Danio rerio: one gene and its partners. The protein of the gene in region 3 interacts with the protein of the main gene of each other region in a biochemical or structural test. Links are inferred from orthologs where the notes say so. Each region holds a gene or a part of one and is shown on either strand. Other genes may lie near its edges.

Region 1 (6,316 bases), on a different chromosome or scaffold from region 3:
CAAGGCCAGCTGGGCCGTGTGGCTGAACACTTTGCCAACCGTGGAGGAAGGAAGGGATTGAGTATGTATCTTGCTGTTGGATGAATTATCTCCTGGAATGTGAATAAACCTTATGAGCTTATGAGAATCTTTTTGTTTGTTTTTGTTTGAATGCATGTATATGTGTGTGTATTTTAATTATTGGCCACTTGTACTGTAGGCATTTAAAAATATTTTATTTTCCAATTGACCTTATTTTTTATTTTTTGCATCAGCTGCTGTTACAGGATTCAAAAAAACACACTTGACAAATCACCATATTAAATGTATTTTTGAAGGGTCATGCTAGACAGACTAGAGTAATAATTCATTGCTTCATTATTCAGTGACACTTGATCCTTCAAAAATGACATTATAGGGCATTCATCGATCCTATTAATTTTTAAAATGTAGTTTAGGAATGTGTAGCAAGATTAATAAATGTTAGTGAAAAGGGTTTGTAGGCATTCCAGTTACTGCTATTATTGCTGAATGTGTTTTACAGAGTATTCATATTTTCATTTTCCCTGTCTCAGTGAGACTGCTGGAGCCGCAGATGGTTATAATAAAACCGCGAGGGAAGGTGGTCTTCACTGATGTCTTCTGTGGGGCATACTTCACCTTCGCTGTTTCTAAAGAGGGGCACGTCTATGGATTTGGCCTTTCCAACTACCATCAGCTTGGTAAGATTTTACATATTTAATCCTGGTGATAATATGGTTGCATTTTGCACTCTTTTTATATATTTTTTTCTTTAATACAGGCACCCAAAGCACAAACACTTGCTTTGTTCCTGTGAAACTCAGCTCTTTCAAAAACTCCACCACCTCCTGGGTGGGTTTCTCTGGAGGACAGCATCACACACTGTGCCTCAATTCAGAAGGTAATTTATTCGCAAATCTCATTGCGTAGCTGTGTGGTGTTTCATATTCTGCTGCTGCTGAATCATGTGCTCCAGTGTTTATAAAGGATGTTTTTCTGCTGTTTCTCTCCACAGGAAAGGCGTACAGTCTAGGCCGGGCAGAGTATGGTCGTCTGGGTTTGGGGAAGGACGTCGGAGAGAAGAGTGAGCCCACAGTTGTTCCTGGGATCAGTGATGTTCAAGTGGTTGCCTGTGGTGCCTCTGTTAGCTACGCTGTCACCAAACAAGGTGAGAACACATCCTCTGCTTTTTTCATGGAATTTAGATTTAATGTGGATCATTTTTTTTTATTGCACATGAAACTACATGTCGTTATGCAACTTTGAAATGCAAAATGAACAACTAAGACTACTTTATCCACCATCATCAAATCTTTCTTGGGGTCTTTTTACCCTTCCATATTTGAAAGCATTACAAAGTTAGCTTGACTTAAAAAAATAAATAATAATAATAATAATATCAGTTCAAATAATCAACTCTAAATTTCCTTAATTTTAGTAGCAAGTCTTTTTGTAGGAAGTAAATAATTAGTTGGACTGGAAAGAATCTGCAGACTCTTTTGGAAAATATAAAGGGGTGTTTTAATGTTAACTTATACTTTCACTGTCAATTTATATTAAGTTTTTACTGCAAATGGCACAACCATAATGGAATTGTAAATATACATATTACCTTGTATTGTATTTTTTCTTATGTTTTTTTATTAAATAAAAAATCTTTAAATAAATTCATTTACAGACAACTACGCGAGTAAATGAATGCATCGGATGATCTGTTTGCTTGTTTGCAGAAAGCTTTGGGTACAGATTCAGTGTTTGTTTGTTTGTTTGTTTGTTTTTTGTTTTTTTTCCAGTCCCAGTACTGATCAGTTTTGCTGAAAACTGCATATTTTGATTTAACAGTTAAATATTTGTATAGGAGTTACCATGTAATAAAAGCATACCTGACAACATTGACAACAGTTAGCTTCAAATGATAAAATACATAGCAAACGTTAGGCATTATTGACAATAAAATTAAAGGTTTAGCCTATTAAAATCAATGGCCTATACAGAAATTTAATCGTTATTAATCTCGTTCACTCTTTCATAAGCTGTGTTTAAATATTGATTAATTACTAATAGTTATTTAGTGAAGAACAGTAAATGAGTCTCGTTTTGTTTGATAAGAGGTGTCACTGTAAGAATGCACAGATCTTTAGGCTAATGAAAGCATTTGATTACTTGAGTAACTGTTTATGCTCCATTTTGGTGAAAATTAGTTGTTTAAAATAAAACAAGCAGGATGGATTTGTTTACATATTATTAAGTGTATTTGTCGGTTTAAACATGCACCCTAATCCAAAAGTAACTATATTCACTCTAAATGATGTGTACAGAAGCTGATCTGGGAACAGTTTATCATACGGACCGTGTCCGTCAGTCAGCATTAATACATGCATGCACTGATACAGAGATTGTACAGTTAAGGCAACAGGAAACTTTAAAACAAAAAAATAAATGAATATGTTTTTAGATTAATTTCATTGTGTTTTCAAGCCACAATAGTGAATCCACAATTCTCTTGAACAGCTCTTGCATTTTTCATTTTTGAGATCGGCTCTGTATGAAAAGTGAAAGTACAATCATCAACACAAAGATTAAAAACACGGGAGAAATATGGAAAATACTTAAATGGGATGATTAAATGGTAGAATATGGGAGAATCCTAAAGCTAAAGTGGGAGTGTTGACTGGTAATGTATTAGTGGGATAAAGGAAGTTTTTTTTTTTTTTTTTTTTTTTTTTTTTTTTTTTTTTCTTCTTTCAATAAATTGCTTGTTGGTTTATCCAATATTTATTGATTTTTTTGTATTTTGATAATTTAAATTGCACCGTGTGAAGCTGATCAAAACTGACCAGTCCATTTAGCTTTTAGCATTCATTGTCTATTTATGTATTTATGGCAAATGGAACATGACGTATTGTTGTTCACAGTGTGTCTTCCACCCGTAATTACATTCATTGCAGCACTCAGAGTGTTGTATTTTTAGAACATTAAACAATAACGTGATGTGCTCTAGGCTTGTTTTGATTTTGCATTAGCGCTGTTTGACTTCTCTAACGCTGGTATGTGTTTGCCAGGCTCTGTGTTTTCCTGGGGAATGGGCACCAACCTGCAGCTGGGCACAGGAGAGGAGGAGGATGAATGGAGCCCTGTGGAGATGACTGGTAAACAGCTGGAAAACCGTGTGGTTCTGTCGGTGTCCAGCGGAGGGCAGCACACAGTCCTGCTGGTCAAAGATAAGCAGGAGAGCTGATCATTAACTCCTCCACTAAAGACAGCTTAGCCAAACTACTGTATCAGTGGTATCTGTAACCTATAGGGGTGTCTGGGGTTCATAATGCTTCCTGTGCTGAGCCAAGCCAGTCAATGAGGGAGGATCATCTAATTAAACCTTTTGTCCCGCTTTATCGGGAGCCCAAATGTTCACTGGATATGCTCCGGTAGATGATCAAAGAGCCTTTTTTATGGACTTTTTTTTTTTCCTTGCTTTATTTTCTTAATTCTTTTTAACAAAGATCTTTAGAATGCTTCCTAGAGACTGCCTGTTGCGAATGATTGTATGCATGAATACGTGATTTAATAAGTCTTTTAAAATGAGTTTCCCCAGAAACTGTTTTTTTTTTAAATTCCACATTTTGGTGCGAGCAATAACGGGTTACAATAGCAGGTTTAATCAGGATAATAACACATTCGGGGGGAGAAAACTAAACTGATTCAGTATTGCTGTACTTAACAGTGTTGAACTCTTTTTCTTAATCTCTTAAATGAAACTGTTATTGTATCCATGCATTGCTGCCCTGTGGACGATTAATAAAAATGTGTGTTTACAGAAACCGATATATGGGTACTCACTAAAAAGTTGATTTAAGCAGGTATATTAGGGTCTATTTTGAATATGCAATTTCAAGCCTTTAGTGTTATAACTTTCACATTCTTCGGGGTGTACTGCTTGTATTTGTAAGTTAGTTAATTTGTAATTGGTTAATTTGGGATTTATTTTTATGTATTTTGAGAGCTGCAGTAATACAAGTTGCGGAATAATATTACTTTTGTAACTGAGTAAAGTAACACACTACTATGAAAAACAAGTAATGATATTCGAGTTGCTTTTTGTGAAAATTTAATGGCTTTTAAAAAAAAATAAGTTGCTAAATTAAATTGACTCAGTAGCTATGTTTTCAACCACCTATTTTTATGTACGTTTTGCCAATGCGCATAAACGGTTGATGGAAACGCCATGATGCGCATAAACCGTCTTACTGTTTAACTAATACCGTTTAAGCATTAGATATCTTTTACTATTAATGACCTCCAGAATCAAGAGCATCTGTGCCCCACGTCTGACAACTTCAAATGCCACCGAACGTTCACAGCATGTCAGGATTGCCTTCTGAGGCGGAAGTCATTTATTAAATTAAGAAAAGATTGACACAGCTTCTCCTACAGCAGTAAAATCAGTTTTTACTGTTGATATTTGGCGCCAGTTAATCAGCAAGTGACGATTATGTTCGCTTTGACTCTTTGGATGAAAATGCTGCTTTATTCGCACTTCTTTTATGCGATAATCCAGTTTTGCATGGTTCATTCTCATTTTTGGATGGAAACAGCTATTGATTTTACTTGAGACATATAATGCTAAAGTAGCAAACATTGCTTTAAACCTTCAATAATTTGTATATATAGCTCAGGGGTCTGTTCTTCATATGTGGATTACTCTATTAGCTGGATATAGTTAACATTATATACAAATATACAAATGCATAGCATTTTTACGGTACCAGCTTTAGTACAGTTTGTCTATAATATTAGACATGCACAATATTTCACTTTTTTATTTTTTTAAGGAATAATTTATGCGGTCTTGCACATGTTTTGACTGCTAATATGATGGTGAATTGATGCTTCGTCGAAGTTGTAGATACCTTTACTGATATCGAAGCTTTTTTAACCAGCCAGTTATTTCTTTTAAGAAACTTGCCAAATTAAGCCGATTAAGAAACTTGAAATGGCCTAGGTCACTAAAGAAAGTCCGCTCTAAATGTAAAACTAAATATTCTTGACACATGAAAGTGTAAAGTCTGCAGCTCACAACAAAAGTGAAGAGCTATTGCGCATCATATTTCACAAACCATTCACTACGAGTTTAAGGTAATTTTGCTCACATGAATAATTAAATATTAATCAGATGGTCGTTACGCTGCTGTGCCATCAGCCAATCGTTGCATTGTTGATCATGATTTCAAGGGTCAATAGATCTGTTCTTCACAACACTCACAGAGATCTCGGATCAGTTTATCCAGACATTTTAATGTGATTCGCCAACTTGTCAAGACCCAAATTAGCCAGAGATCAGTCATCAAGATTAAAAGATCCAGGATCTGTCAAATCACCTTGGATCATTTAAGCAAATTTTACTGTTTTAAATATTACTCAAAGTAGGAGTAAAAAAATAGCCCTTTAAAAAGTACTCATGAGTAGTGAGAATAATGCTGTTGAAAGTGGATGCATTTACATGTAATTTGTGTATGTGTGTAATTGTAACATTCTGTAGTGCATTTAGTTATTGCCCAGCAGGCACACAATGTCATAAGATGTTAATATTAGGTTAGATTTGGGTTGTGATGTCAGGTGACCAAAATTCAATGTCTAGCCAGCGTCTAAGGACAACATTATTTTGATGTCCAATAATGACATCAAATGACGTTGATATTTGGTTGATTTTAGGTTGTTAGAAAGTGACCAAAATCCAATGTCGAGCCAATATCTTAAACCAACATTCTATTGATGTCAAATACTGACATTTATTCATCAGTTATGGCTACCAAAATTTAACATCTGATGTCATAGTGGTAACATCGACACAACGTCAAACTGTAACATCATTAGATGTTGATATGTGGTTGGTTTTAGGTTGGACGTTGGACATTGACATCGAGCGGACATTGAATTCTGATGTGAACCCGATTTTCATTTCCAAACAAAATGCAGCATCTCCATGACATTAGGGTACAATTTTAATCTGACGGCATGTTGACGTCTTATGCCTGCTGGGTGTTTATGGCCATTTCGGTCATCATACAGTAAATATCCATCATCTTCTCATCAGTGACATGCATCTAATCCAGGGGTGGCCATACTCAGTCCTGGAGGGCCGGTGTCCTGCAAAGTTTAGTTCCATCCCAATTAGACGCACCTGGGAAACATCCGTGCAGGTGTGTTGAGACAAGTTGGAGCTAAAATCTGCAGGATTTCTGGGTCAATGTGTGTAAAGATTTTGAACATCATCTTGGACACTTTTAATGCTTCCAAACAGTTTGCTGCAATGTAAATT
Region 2 (5,938 bases), on a different chromosome or scaffold from region 3:
GTCATGTAACAGAACATAAGAAATGCACTTTGCTTATTGACCTTATATTGCGATGCAGAAGTGCGTTTTTGCTATTTGATTCAGTTGTCTATGGGAGAAATGGATAAAAACAAATAGCATTATTGGTGAATAATAACAAATAAATAGTGTTAAAAGCAATGAGAAAAGCTAACAGTAAATTATCCATCCACACCCTGAAAAATGTGGTTTAGAAAATAACAACAACAAACAAAAAAATGTGCTCTTATCTGAGCATTCCATGAAAATTTAATTAACCAATCAAACCATTCTTGTGTTCACAAATAGCACTCAGTGATTAAATCAAAGTAAAATCATTATCTTTAATATAGCAAAACAAGACTCCACAACGGCCAAAATTTATTTTAGAATAAGCAAGAAATGATTGCAGCAGCCGAAAGTCTCATATCTGTCCGTTTGTTAAATTCAGTATTTGTCTCCATGCAGATCATGCTGTTCTACCTGCTTCAGGTCTGTCAGTCTGAACCTGTTGAGATTAGTGATGTCCTTACGCAACACACACTTATCCGCTCATCCTTTAAGCCTGTGTGCGCATGTGTGTTTTTTTTTTGTTCATGCTCTAGGTGGGGGAGAACTTTGTCCCTCCATTGCTGGATGCTGTGCTCATTGATTATCAGCGCAATGTTCCGGCGGCGAGAGAACCGGAAGTCCTCAGCACCATGGCAACAATCGTAAACAAACTGGGTGGACACATCACTGGAGAGATCCCACAGATATTTGATGCAGTGTTTGAGTGCACATTAAACATGATCAACAAAGTAAGCTGCATTTGTTTATCCATCACTATTATGAAATAAATATTTAATAGTACATTGTCATTTATTATTAAAGCCAGATTGCATCATACTTCTTATATTCATGTTTGTTGTTCAGTCCCTCCAGAATTTTGAATCTAGTGGTTCTTGAGATCAAAAATATACAAATTGTAAAATGTTTGTGTATTTTCAAAGCATAACACAAGAATTGAAGTGCACAATGTCATACGTTTTGAGAAAGCATCACAAAATCTGTCATTTTACGCCACAAATATAAAAATAATTTTCCCAGCAAAATCCTCGAGGGGCAGATTGTGTCCCACATTGAATTGCATTATATTCCTTTTTTACCTGGGTTTATGTACATTCACTTACAATAAATTACGGTATCACTTTATTTTGATGGTCCCTTAAACGCATTTTGTTGAATTGAACAAACATTGCATCTACATGCCAGTTAATTCTCATTAGATTATAAGTAGACTGTTAGGTAAGGGTTAGTTTAAGTTGATATGTACTTGCAAAGTTTTTATAGTCAGTTTAATGTCTGTTGAAACAGCAGTATCAACTGATATTAAGCAGACAGTCTACTAATACTCAAATAAGAAATGATTGTCATGTGGTTGCAATGCAACTTTGTCAACAAAATGTGCAATAGGGACCATAAAAATAAAGCCTTACCTAAATTAATTCCTAAATCATAAAGAGACTTTCAATATTTGATCAAATGTTTTTTTTTTTTTTTGCAAAAACCATTTTGCTTAAAGATAAAAAAAACCTTTAATACTAGTACTAATATTTATGAATGGATAAATTAATTTATTATTCGCTTTTTTACGATTCGCTTTTCATCAAACACATTTTATTAAACTTTTAACACTAGTACTATTACTTTATTTATTAATTTATAATGAAATGCATAAGATTTTACCAGAAATTAATAAATGTTTATCACGTAAAAAGAAAATTATTAAATGATGTAAAAAGGGAAAATATTATATAATATAGTCCCCATTTATTTTCCATGATATAAAAAATAAACAACTAAATAACTAGTATACATTTATATTTTTGTTTAGGATTTTGAAGAGTACCCAGAGCACCGGACGCATTTCTTCTACCTGCTTCAGGCGGTGAACTCTCACTGTTTCCCTGCATTCTTGGCCATACCCCCAGCCCAGTTTAAGCTTGTGCTGGACTCCATTATATGGGCTTTTAAACACACTATGAGAAATGTGGCAGACACTGGTGAGAACACTGATATCTTATGTACCGTAATGCCTAACTGATAAACCATAATCATTAAGCATAACATACAATGTGAAATGTCCTGCAGGCCTGCAGATCCTCTACACTCTGCTGCAGAATGTGGCTCAGGAGGAGGCAGCGGCTCAGAGCTTCTATCAGACATACTTCTGTGACATCCTTCAACACATCTTCTCTGTCGTCACGGACACGTCACACACAGCCGGTCAGCTCCTATCACTTGCTCCTTAAAACACTCTATTAATTATTTTAAATCATTGCAAGCCTGAAATAGTTTATACCCCTGGCAAATTTTGACTTAAAATTACTTTACAGAAGCGACATGGGCTTCTCCTAAAAGACAATAGGACTATGTACAAGAGGCATCAAATTCTCAGCTTTTATTCACATTCGAACAAAAGCTTTAGGTCAGAATTTGCTTGGGTATGAATAATTTCAGGCTTGACTCTAGTTTTTATAATTCAGTTCTTATATATGTCATTTTTTTTTTTGCATTAAAACTTTAGGTTTAACTATGCACGCATCAATATTAGCGTACATGTTTAACCTCGTCGAGGAAGGAAAAATCAGTACAACTCTGAACCCATCAAACCCAGTCAACAACCAAGTGTTCATCCAGGAGTATGTGGCCAACTTGCTTAAATCAGCTTTCCCACACTTACAAGAGTGAGTATCCCACAATGCACCTGAGCTGATGCTTCACAAACCTGCATCTTTTGAAAAAGGAATACTAATGCGTTGGGTTTAGAAGGACCCAAGTACTATACAGATTTTCAGAGCATTAGGAGGTTAATAATAAAATCAGTGTCAGTAAATCCACTAACTGCAGTTGTTTTGGTGATAATTGCATTTGGTTGAATGTCATGCAACACATCTCTCAGGTAAAAGCTTGTTTGTTCTCAGTAGACATCTTGCTGTGAGATTAATTAATACAGTTTTAGTTCTGCAGCAACAGTCTGCAAACTGTTCATGTCTAGTTTCATTTCCAATCTGACTGTATGATTGTTTTCTTCCTCTTTGTAGTGCCCAGGTAAAAGTATTTGTGACTGGCCTGTTCAGTTTAAACCAAGACATCGCAGCATTCAAGGAGCACTTGAGGGATTTCCTTGTACAGATCAAGGTGAGCTGCAAACCAGTTGAGAGCCTTAATAATCTCTAAATAAATTGGGTTGCCTTTAATACAATGTCAGTAGTAATGACGTATTTGAGCAGATGATAGATGAGGGTGTGAGTGGAGGAAATGGAGATGGTGTGAGGAAGCAAGTGTGCTGTAACTTTGACCTTTTAAGAGACCATGAAGGGTGGTGAAACTGTATGGGTCAGCTGAAGTGCATGGGAACAGAGTGTGTGTGTGTGTGTATACGTACATGTTTTTATATCCTGAGCGTTATTGTAGAAAATTGAAATCAAGAAAGCCAGGATAACAGAAGAAGCATGGCTTGACCTAGTTTAATTAGGTCCTCTAGGCTTAGTCCATTGCACATTTGCTTATCCAGGATGAGAACAAGCCGCTATGTCAAACCTGATGTTGATAGCCAGGATGTGTGGACATTCACGCACATGTTAACAGATTACAGGATCGATTACAGAATCAATGGTAACAAATATTGATAAAACCTGATGTGAGTTAAAAAATGCCTCTATTGTCCACCAATCTGGAAACTCCCGTTGTCTGTTTATTTTATTGTATTAAGTTTATTTAATCTTTATCAGTATAATCATTTATCTATCATTTCCATTTATACTTTTTTTCTTCATAATTGAGACTATTTAATCTTTTATTTGAGGTTTCATCAAAAAAAAAAACTATATAATAATAATAATAATAAGTAATACAAAAAAGATATGTAAAACGCATTCATTTCTAGTAGCATTGACATTAAAACTAACATTATAAATCACTAGGATTAATCTTAGCCTGGTTGTTAGCCTGCTCTGGTGTAGGCTAGCTGCAAAGAATAACTTAATTTAGCCTGTCAAGACTAAATTCACCAAGGATAGTCCCCGCTTAATTCCTTCTCTTACTTTTGTGCAATATCAGTCCAGGTGAACACTTAAACCTGAATGCATGGTCTCATATGTACTTTTGTCATTGTGGGGCATTAAATTGAGAACCTAATTTTTAAACATACTAATGACAGCTCCACCTAAAAAAAAAAAAAAACATGTAGTGTTAACCCAATTTGAACCTTATTAATGGTAACTATGGAATAACTAAAGAAACTGCTGTTTAATGGAATAACTGATTAGCCCAGCGCACATTAGTCATTTAACCATCAAAAATATAACATTTAACCATTATTTTTAACATAAAATGGTATACAGATTATATATTATATTATTACCAGTAAGATTTTATCAACACATTTCTATAGATTTAATTACTCATTTCTAATAACTAATATATTTTATTTTTGCCATAATGATAATAATATTTGACTAAAAGATATTTTTCTGGTGACATGTAAAGGCTTAACCAGGTTAAGTCGGCAAGTTAGGGTAATTAGGCAAAATACAATAAAAAATAATAATAAATAATGCAGATGACATGGTAGAAATTTGAACAGTGTCCTGGTTAGCCAAAATCTCGAGGAAAAACCTCCAGCACTTAAAAATTGTTTTCAGGTTTTGCACCATATGTTTTATTTTGCGTTTAATTTAGCGACTGCGGAATTATTCAGATCTAGAGAGACTGCTCAACACTGCTGCTCGTGTACTGTTCATTATAGTTCATGGATATTCAGCTTTTTAGGAGCTGAATATCAGGGAATTTGCCATTTGGTTTAGAGTGTGAACCCTGAACATTATTACGTCCTGACCAGATCTGTGTGTGAAAGATAGAGAGAGGACAATTATAGCAGAGATCAATCTGTGCTAGTAGCAACCATAAACCGCTGACTGGATTCTCTGTGTACCTGCAGGAGTTTGCCGGTGAGGACACATCTGATCTGTTCCTGGAGGAGCGGGAGGCATCATTGCGTCAGGCCCAGGAGGAGAAACACAAGCTGCAGATGTCCGTGCCTGGCATCCTCAACCCTCATGAAATACCAGAAGAGATGTGTGACTGAGTTTGCACACAAACACAGTACACACAGACACACTGCGCTGACTCCTAAACAAGCTCAACACACAACTAAAGTGTTGTTGTGGCTGCTCTTCTGTGTGTTTTCTCTAAGTGTGTGTGTGTGTGTGTAAATACTTAGGCTCTTCATGCGAGGAGGTGATTTCCGCACTTGGCTCTCTCTTGACCAAAACGATGCCAATATGTAAACGATGCTGTCACCCAGTGGCCCTATTTGCATAGTACGCGTTTCATACAGACACTTTTATGTATTACTTTTCCATTGTCAACAGCTTACGTTTGGTCACTGTAACCTGAACGGTGCATGAAGTGTCACATCTGTACAGTTAACTCGCTTGTGCTTTTGCGTTTTTCGTTTCAACTTCCACACGTCATGTATTTGTTCATGTACATTATATATATATATGAAGACCAGAGTGCAGTTTGTTTTGTTTGCAGGGAGCTGTGTGCGTTCTGACAGCAGGTATAGATGGTACCTCGTGTCAGTTTATGTGTGTGTGTGATTTAGCCAATGAGAATGTCAACGAATGTCTGCGATTGGTGAGTTTGCACAGGTGCTGCGTGCTCATTGGCTGGCGTTTGGTGTGGTTTGGGACTACAGTAGCTCTCAGCAGAATGTGAAGCGGATAGCTGAGTTGAACAGTCTGATCGATGCTGCTTTGAAGCGGCGCTCCATTTGCGCTTTTCGTTTTTTTTCTACACAGGAGTGTTCAGCAGCTTCTACATGTTCATATCAGCATCACTGTACAGCATCTTTACTACCAAGGGAACACGCAGATGTTTCGTCCTGTTTTGT
Region 3 (6,417 bases):
GATGATTACACAATACATCTGAGTAAGATCTACTGTTTCTTAAATATAGCTTATAATGTTTAGTTATCATATCTTGCTATAATAATACAAAAACTCTTTGTCTCTCCATTTGTCAGTGTGAATGTGATCGGATCTGAAACATACTCTTCTCCACAGTTTGCTCTTGTGTAGATGAAAGCTGGCTGAACAGGCCCATCTCTGAACCCGACTCTCTACTGCCTCCTGGTGCATCGGTGGTGAATTTCGGCAGAGCCTGGAAGCGTTCGATACGGGTGGGATTGAGTGATAAACAAGACTTAAACATCGGGAACTGTGATCTATAACTTGACTGTATTAAACTATGACACACACACAAAAGGAATTTACTGCTTTACCACAACGCGATCCAACATGTTCTGTCCAAAGACAAACTTCACACTGTTGGCATTGCTGCTGTCAGGTTTTTGTGCGCTATAAGAAACAATATCAATGCCAGGAAACATTACAAGATTCTGCATGAGGGGATCTGTAAAAAAAGTCTTTAAATATGAACATTTGAACTGCAATACCTGGGAGTGATGCACTGCAAGAAGTAGTTAGTTTCCCCAGAATTTTCTGTCTGAAGGCCATCGGCTTTCTGTGAGGAGTCCAAACTGTTTCCCACCTGGAAGAAAATACAATTTAACATTCAAAAGCAAAGCAAAACATCAAAACATATATTTTTTCACATTCAATATATTGATATAAGTTAAGCTTTTTTATTATTATTATTATTAAAAGGAATGGGTAATATGACAACGAAATCGTGATATGTTAAAAAATAAAATAAAAACAAAATATAAATGAAACATTATTGTCAATTACTTTAACTTAAGGGTAAATAAATAACTTAAGGGTAAAAACGGAACTATCAAATCTAAACTAAAACATTAAAATCTAGTTTAAAATAATAATGATGATTTAACAGTGTTTTTTAAATACAAAGGGCCCCATCATAAACACAGCGCAATAAGGCGCAAGACGTGTTTGGCATGATTTGTTGCTATTTTCAGATCAGCGCAACTGTAATTTTTACATTTTCACCATGTTGAGTAAATAGCAAATTCATTTGGTGTGTACAACACCGTTTTATTACTCTACGAAAGTAAAGGAGAAAAAAAAATAGGAAAAGTAAAGAGAAAGTTGAGAAAGGCTGAACGGAGGAGGCTCTTTCTTTATAATCGTGCTGCAGATGGTTTAACTGTTTTCATGCTAGTGAAGGGTTCAGTTTTTCCACTTATAAAGTCCGCCATGTTAATAGCAAATGTGCCATGGCATGACGCAACTGACTCGTAAAAGGAATAGGAGATGAGACTCTGATTGGTTTAAAGCTCTGCTCAAAACACACCTGTAACTCATTAAGAAAATAAACACAACCCTGTTAGACCATGCGTCGGGGCTGCAGACCAAATTTTTCTGTCCTTAAAATAGCAAAAGTCGATTGGGACAAGTCCTTAATGCTTTTGTGCCATGTGCTTTAGACTTTGCGACTAGATTGTTAAGTCTTTTGCAGGATGGCCTGTGATGTGGGTAGGTTTATTTGATTTTATTTAATATGTAATATGTGGACATAATATGTAAAAATAGAGAATTCTTTAATCTGAAACTCAGTCTTCAACTTTTTGTCAAAATAATAATAATGATGAGTAGGCCCACACGGAATCTGCACAAGCAGATTTACGGAGATTTTTAGCCCATCATTGAGGCTATTTATTTACTTGTAAATTTTTGTTCATAAGATTTATTTACAACAAAGTTTGTAAAGTAATATTTTATGTCTTTTAGCAGATATATTATATGAGATACTTGCTTAGTTTACCAAACAATGGATCTAATTGGATTTGCATTGTAAACATTAAATACAAGTTTAAAATGTATTACTTTTATTTCATATTAGGTTTCAGATTTTTTACCAAATTCTGGGCAGAAATAGCAAAAAATGTTAGCAGATTCTGTCTGCCCTAATGACAAGCAACATTTGGTAGTACACACTACTGTTCAGAAGTTTGGAGTCGGGAAGATTTGTTAATGCTTTTAATTCAAAACAAAATACTGTAGAAGTGTAAAACATTATTCAAATTTTAAATACGAGTCAATATTATTGTATAGCTTAAAATGCTACTTTTGTGTTAAATCTGAATATTAGCATTCAGTGATTTGATCCAAAATCATTCTAATACAATCATTTAGTTCTTATTTCTCTATCGCATTATCACTGCGGTCAACATTTGAGCTCCATAATAATTTTGTGAAAACTGATATATATATATATATTATATATATATATATGTATATATGTATGTGTGTGTGTGTGTGTATATATATATAGATATATATATAGATTAGTAATGATTTAAACTTTTGTAACATTATAAATTAGTCTTTGGTGAAATTAATACACTTTGCAGAATTCAAGTATTAATTTCATTTAAAAAATTATAATAATGGACTGCAACTTTAGTGCAGATTTTTAATTAACATTCACTATTGTTATGTGGTGACTTCTAAACAAAATTCTGATAATGATGCAAACAAACCACTGAAGCACTTTCAACATAATTCTTTGAAATGGTCCGTGCTTTTACATGAATTGAACTTTACTATGTTTATATATCAGAAGCTATAAAAATTATCCAAATCAACTGAATTAAACCTTTGCTCTGTCCCTCATATTCTCTCCAAATACAAAACTGGCATCAATCTGGGCACCGTGTTGCTCTGGTTTGTCATCTGTTTCGGGCTCCAAAGTGCTCTTGTCCTTAAAAAACAATGAAAGGTAATTTAAGTTAAAGGTGTGACCAGTCAAACATTTTGTTCAGTTTTCAGCGTACACGTTTCACAATTTCATCTAGAAACACAGGGTCAGCCAAGAAAAACGAAGTTGTTCAGAACAAGATGATAAAGTATTTTCTGGAAGCCACAGCCATGTAAAATAAAACGAAACTTGTCTGGCTTCTGGACCAGAGCCCGTGCTGCGTTCAAACACGCTTATCTTGAAGAAAAACACAGTGTTTAAACATTACAGTGGCCCATAAAAGTATGTAGACACTTAATCCACAATTTAAAAATATATTAACATTTTAAATATACATAGAAAATAAAGTATTATAGTGGGATTGTTATTGAAATTGATTAGAGAGTGCACATTTTTCAAGCAAAATGTTTTGCAAAATATAATTTTTTATAGCAAGTTAGCTCCATTGATTAAAGTATTTTGAACAGTGTTGATAAAGTAAATTTGTACCAAGCGTGTACTTTATTTTTAAAAAGGTAAAAGTACCAGCCTTTCTGCAGCACTGCATGATCATGCCGGTACTACCCACCAAAATGCACCTCATAGTTTTTGCGTGACAATTTAAAGCAGACAACAGTGCTGTTTGGGACATGGCTTTAAGTGTGTCGTATCTTACCAATGACTCCGAATTTTCCTGAGTGCCAGCAGCGGATGCCTCTGAGTGACCTTCACATTCTGTTCCTCCATCTGAGAGCTTTTTCACTCCATTTGAACTGTTGCTGCTTATGTCTGGTGAAAGAAAAAGACGTCAGCTGTCACCTGCTGTGCTTCCCCTTCAGCTTTTCTCTGTGAGAGGATCTTCGTGGTGTACTCACTGTTCTGAGGGGGGCTTTTGACCGGAGGGGGCTGCAGGACGGGAGGCCTCAGGATGCTCCGCTGGGCTTCTTTGGGTTTTGGACTGGGGACACCTGAAAGAAACCAATTAAATAACAATTAACATTAAGAAAGCCTCAGCATCTATATTGCAATGTGCGTCTTCAATAGTCACATCATCATCCCAATGCAAAGTATAACCATAAGCGAGTGAAAGTTTATCATTTGCTTGTGTTTTAAAGGAACGCTTCACCTATTTTTGAAAATGGCTTGTTTTACAAGTCTCCTTGTCAACTTCAACCATTTTTGACTACATTCAGCCAATTTCTTTGTTCTGGCAGGGTCACTTTAGCTTAGCATAATGGATTAAAACAGATATGAGCCCCCCTCAGAACAGTGCCCCCCTTAGAACAGTGATCTTCCAGCCTAAACCACGGCGAATGAAGCTCTGCACAAGACTTTTGGCCAGCGGAGAAATTAAAATGGTCGTGCCCAACTGAGTCTGGTTCTCTCAAGGTTTTTTTTCTTCACTCCCATCAGGTGAAGTTTTTTTTTCCCTCTCCGCTGTCGCCACTGCCTCGCATGGTTCAGGATTGGTAGAGCTACGCATCGATGAATTTGCTCTTCAGTGTTTGAACTCTCAGTAATGATTAAATCACACTGAACTGAGCTAAACTGAACTGAACTTAAACACTAAAACCTGAACCACACTGTTCCAGTTACTATGACCATTTATGTGAAGCTGCTTTGACACAATCTACATTGTAAAAGCGCTATACAAATAAAGCTGAATTGAATTGAATTGAATATGACCATTAGCATTTAATAAAAAAAAAAGTAAAAAACTGTTGTTTTTTATTTAAAGATGCTGAGTTTTTGACTCTTCTAAAGCATAAAAATACCTTAAAATATTTGCAGATTTTTAACAGTTTAAAGTTCGCAGTTCAGCCAATTACATTTCAGCACTCTGCGTTGCCTTGGTTGAAAACCGCATATTTCATTCATTCAGTCAGGAAGGCTCACAAAGTGTGCATGGTGAATGAAATGGGACCTCCAGTGGACAGTAGCAGACTCCGAAATGAGATGCAGATTCAGAGTTCCACATGAGGTGGTTATTAATTAGCAAAAAGTATAAATATTGTGAACGTAAACATTAGGTGAGCAGGTTACATTAACCCCGTGTACTAACAACACACTACGTAACGAGATTTGTTTTTCTGATAAACAAGAATGTTCACTTGTACTCACACTATATACAGTGGCCTTGAACCGGGCCAAAGCACGATTGTCGCCCCCTCCCGTCTCCCCCGATGGCCCGCACTCACATCACATTCAGGCCTGGGCATGTTTACGTCATCGATAATGCGCTGTTCAGCAAGCGACTATCGCTTTAGTCGTTTGGGATGCGGTGACACGTAGTCAAATATTTCGTCGAATAGATCAGCCACTTCTGACGCTCATAAACAATCATAAAGTCCTCGTGCTGCAGGAATGAGGAGGTTTGCTGAAGGTGCAGCTGTCGTGCAGTGAGGGGTTTGCGTCTTTAATAAACTATGACAGTTTGCGTTTATTGAACAGTAAAAATGATTAATAAATCCGTATATCCCTTAAAAGTCACGTCCCGCTTTCAGTTTCTGACTCAGGCACGTTTTGCACCCACACAAGCAAACAGAGCCAAAGCCCAAGTGAACCGCACTCTGGCACACCTTATCCAACCGGGCCAGGGCCGGCCAAGTGAACTGTGCCTGAGCCCGATTGAGAGCACTCACACTTCTCAAACGATCCGGGAAATGGGGCTGGGCACGGTTCGGATAGCATAGTGTGATGTAATGTTTCTTAAATATCTGCAAACTTATTATGGTATTTTACGCTTTAGAAGAGTAAAAAACTTACATACAGCCCTTTTAACCTTAATATTAATAGCACAATCATATTATTAACTGACAAAATCATTAATTACAAATTATTCTGGTGTACGTTTACTTTTAACTGCAAAGAATTTGTAAATCAGAACCCTGGTGACAGAAACGCATCCGTCAACCCTGTCAAGACCTCTTATGTTTTCTGATTCAGAAGGATCACAGTGTGAATGTGAGTGCTTGGAGCCGTGTAAATAAACAAGCTCATGAAAACAGCACAACTGGACATTAATCAACACGCTGTACAAAACAGCAGATGTTCCAACACTGACTCACCAGCACTCGGAGCCTGGCCGTGGATCAGAGTCGGGGGCTTCAGGCGAAACCCCACAGTCTTCTCTTCTAATCAAAAAAGTCAAGTAAAGAAAACAAGATTGGTCGATGTGATCGGAAATCGAACACATACTACTTTCAGACAATTTACATATTGTGCAAATATTTGTCTTGGTAAACTTTCAAAACAACATTATTTTACAAGTCTGTTTAACAAAACACCATTTGATTTCCATTCATGATGTTCATACGGTGGCTGAGAGAGCTTAACCAAAGTCATTTCTCATCTGTTCTGAGCCCCTCCCCCTGAGAATCATCAGTCTATATAGCGATCAATAATTGGTTCCTGTACTAAAAGGTGAGGCATCATTCGCCATATTGACTGTTCCCCATTCAAAACTATACGAGTGACACGTCTTATGCATTCTATAATCTTTGGTGTTATCAGCAGAAACATGCAACATGCAACGACTTCATCGGTTTGACAGGACGCGTGTTGTAAGCACAGACTGTAAAAGTTATGGAAGTAGTATCCATGATGTCACCCATAGGTTTCTGAAAGGCGCAAATAAAGCTAGTAGGCGTGGCCAACCGGCGCCA

Evidence for each region.
Region 1: the proteins of ranbp3a (region 3) and rcc1 form a complex in vitro, tested with the Homo sapiens proteins (2 studies listed by BioGRID). The link is inferred for Danio rerio from reciprocal best matches to the Homo sapiens genes RANBP3 and RCC1.
Region 2: the proteins of ranbp3a (region 3) and xpo1b form a complex in vitro, tested with the Homo sapiens proteins (2 studies listed by BioGRID). The link is inferred for Danio rerio from reciprocal best matches to the Homo sapiens genes RANBP3 and XPO1.

Annotation. Positions count from the first base shown.
Region 1 is NC_133191.1:37,413,227-37,419,542, reverse strand, and holds the end of rcc1 (regulator of chromosome condensation), read left to right. Parts: coding exon 1-61; intron 62-554; coding exon 555-701; intron 702-781; coding exon 782-901; intron 902-1,015; coding exon 1,016-1,168; intron 1,169-3,062; coding exon 3,063-3,238; 3' UTR 3,239-3,818; downstream 3,819-6,316. UniProt on the Homo sapiens protein: Guanine-nucleotide releasing factor that promotes the exchange of Ran-bound GDP by GTP, and thereby plays an important role in RAN-mediated functions in nuclear import and mitosis.
Region 2 is NC_133192.1:25,332,578-25,338,515, forward strand, and holds part of xpo1b (exportin-1), read left to right. Parts: intron 1-602; coding exon 603-797; intron 798-1,873; coding exon 1,874-2,042; intron 2,043-2,130; coding exon 2,131-2,265; intron 2,266-2,566; coding exon 2,567-2,726; intron 2,727-3,083; coding exon 3,084-3,180; intron 3,181-4,981; coding exon 4,982-5,128; 3' UTR 5,129-5,938. UniProt on the Homo sapiens protein: Mediates the nuclear export of cellular proteins (cargos) bearing a leucine-rich nuclear export signal (NES) and of RNAs.
Region 3 is NC_133186.1:6,432,239-6,438,655, reverse strand, and holds part of ranbp3a (ran-binding protein 3a), read right to left. Parts: intron 5,887-6,417; coding exon 5,821-5,886; intron 3,721-5,820; coding exon 3,628-3,720; intron 3,542-3,627; coding exon 3,429-3,541; intron 2,777-3,428; coding exon 2,672-2,776; intron 644-2,671; coding exon 549-643; intron 451-548; coding exon 375-450; intron 254-374; coding exon 145-253; intron 1-144. UniProt on the Homo sapiens protein: Acts as a cofactor for XPO1/CRM1-mediated nuclear export, perhaps as export complex scaffolding protein. Bound to XPO1/CRM1, stabilizes the XPO1/CRM1-cargo interaction. In the absence of Ran-bound GTP prevents binding of XPO1/CRM1 to the nuclear pore complex.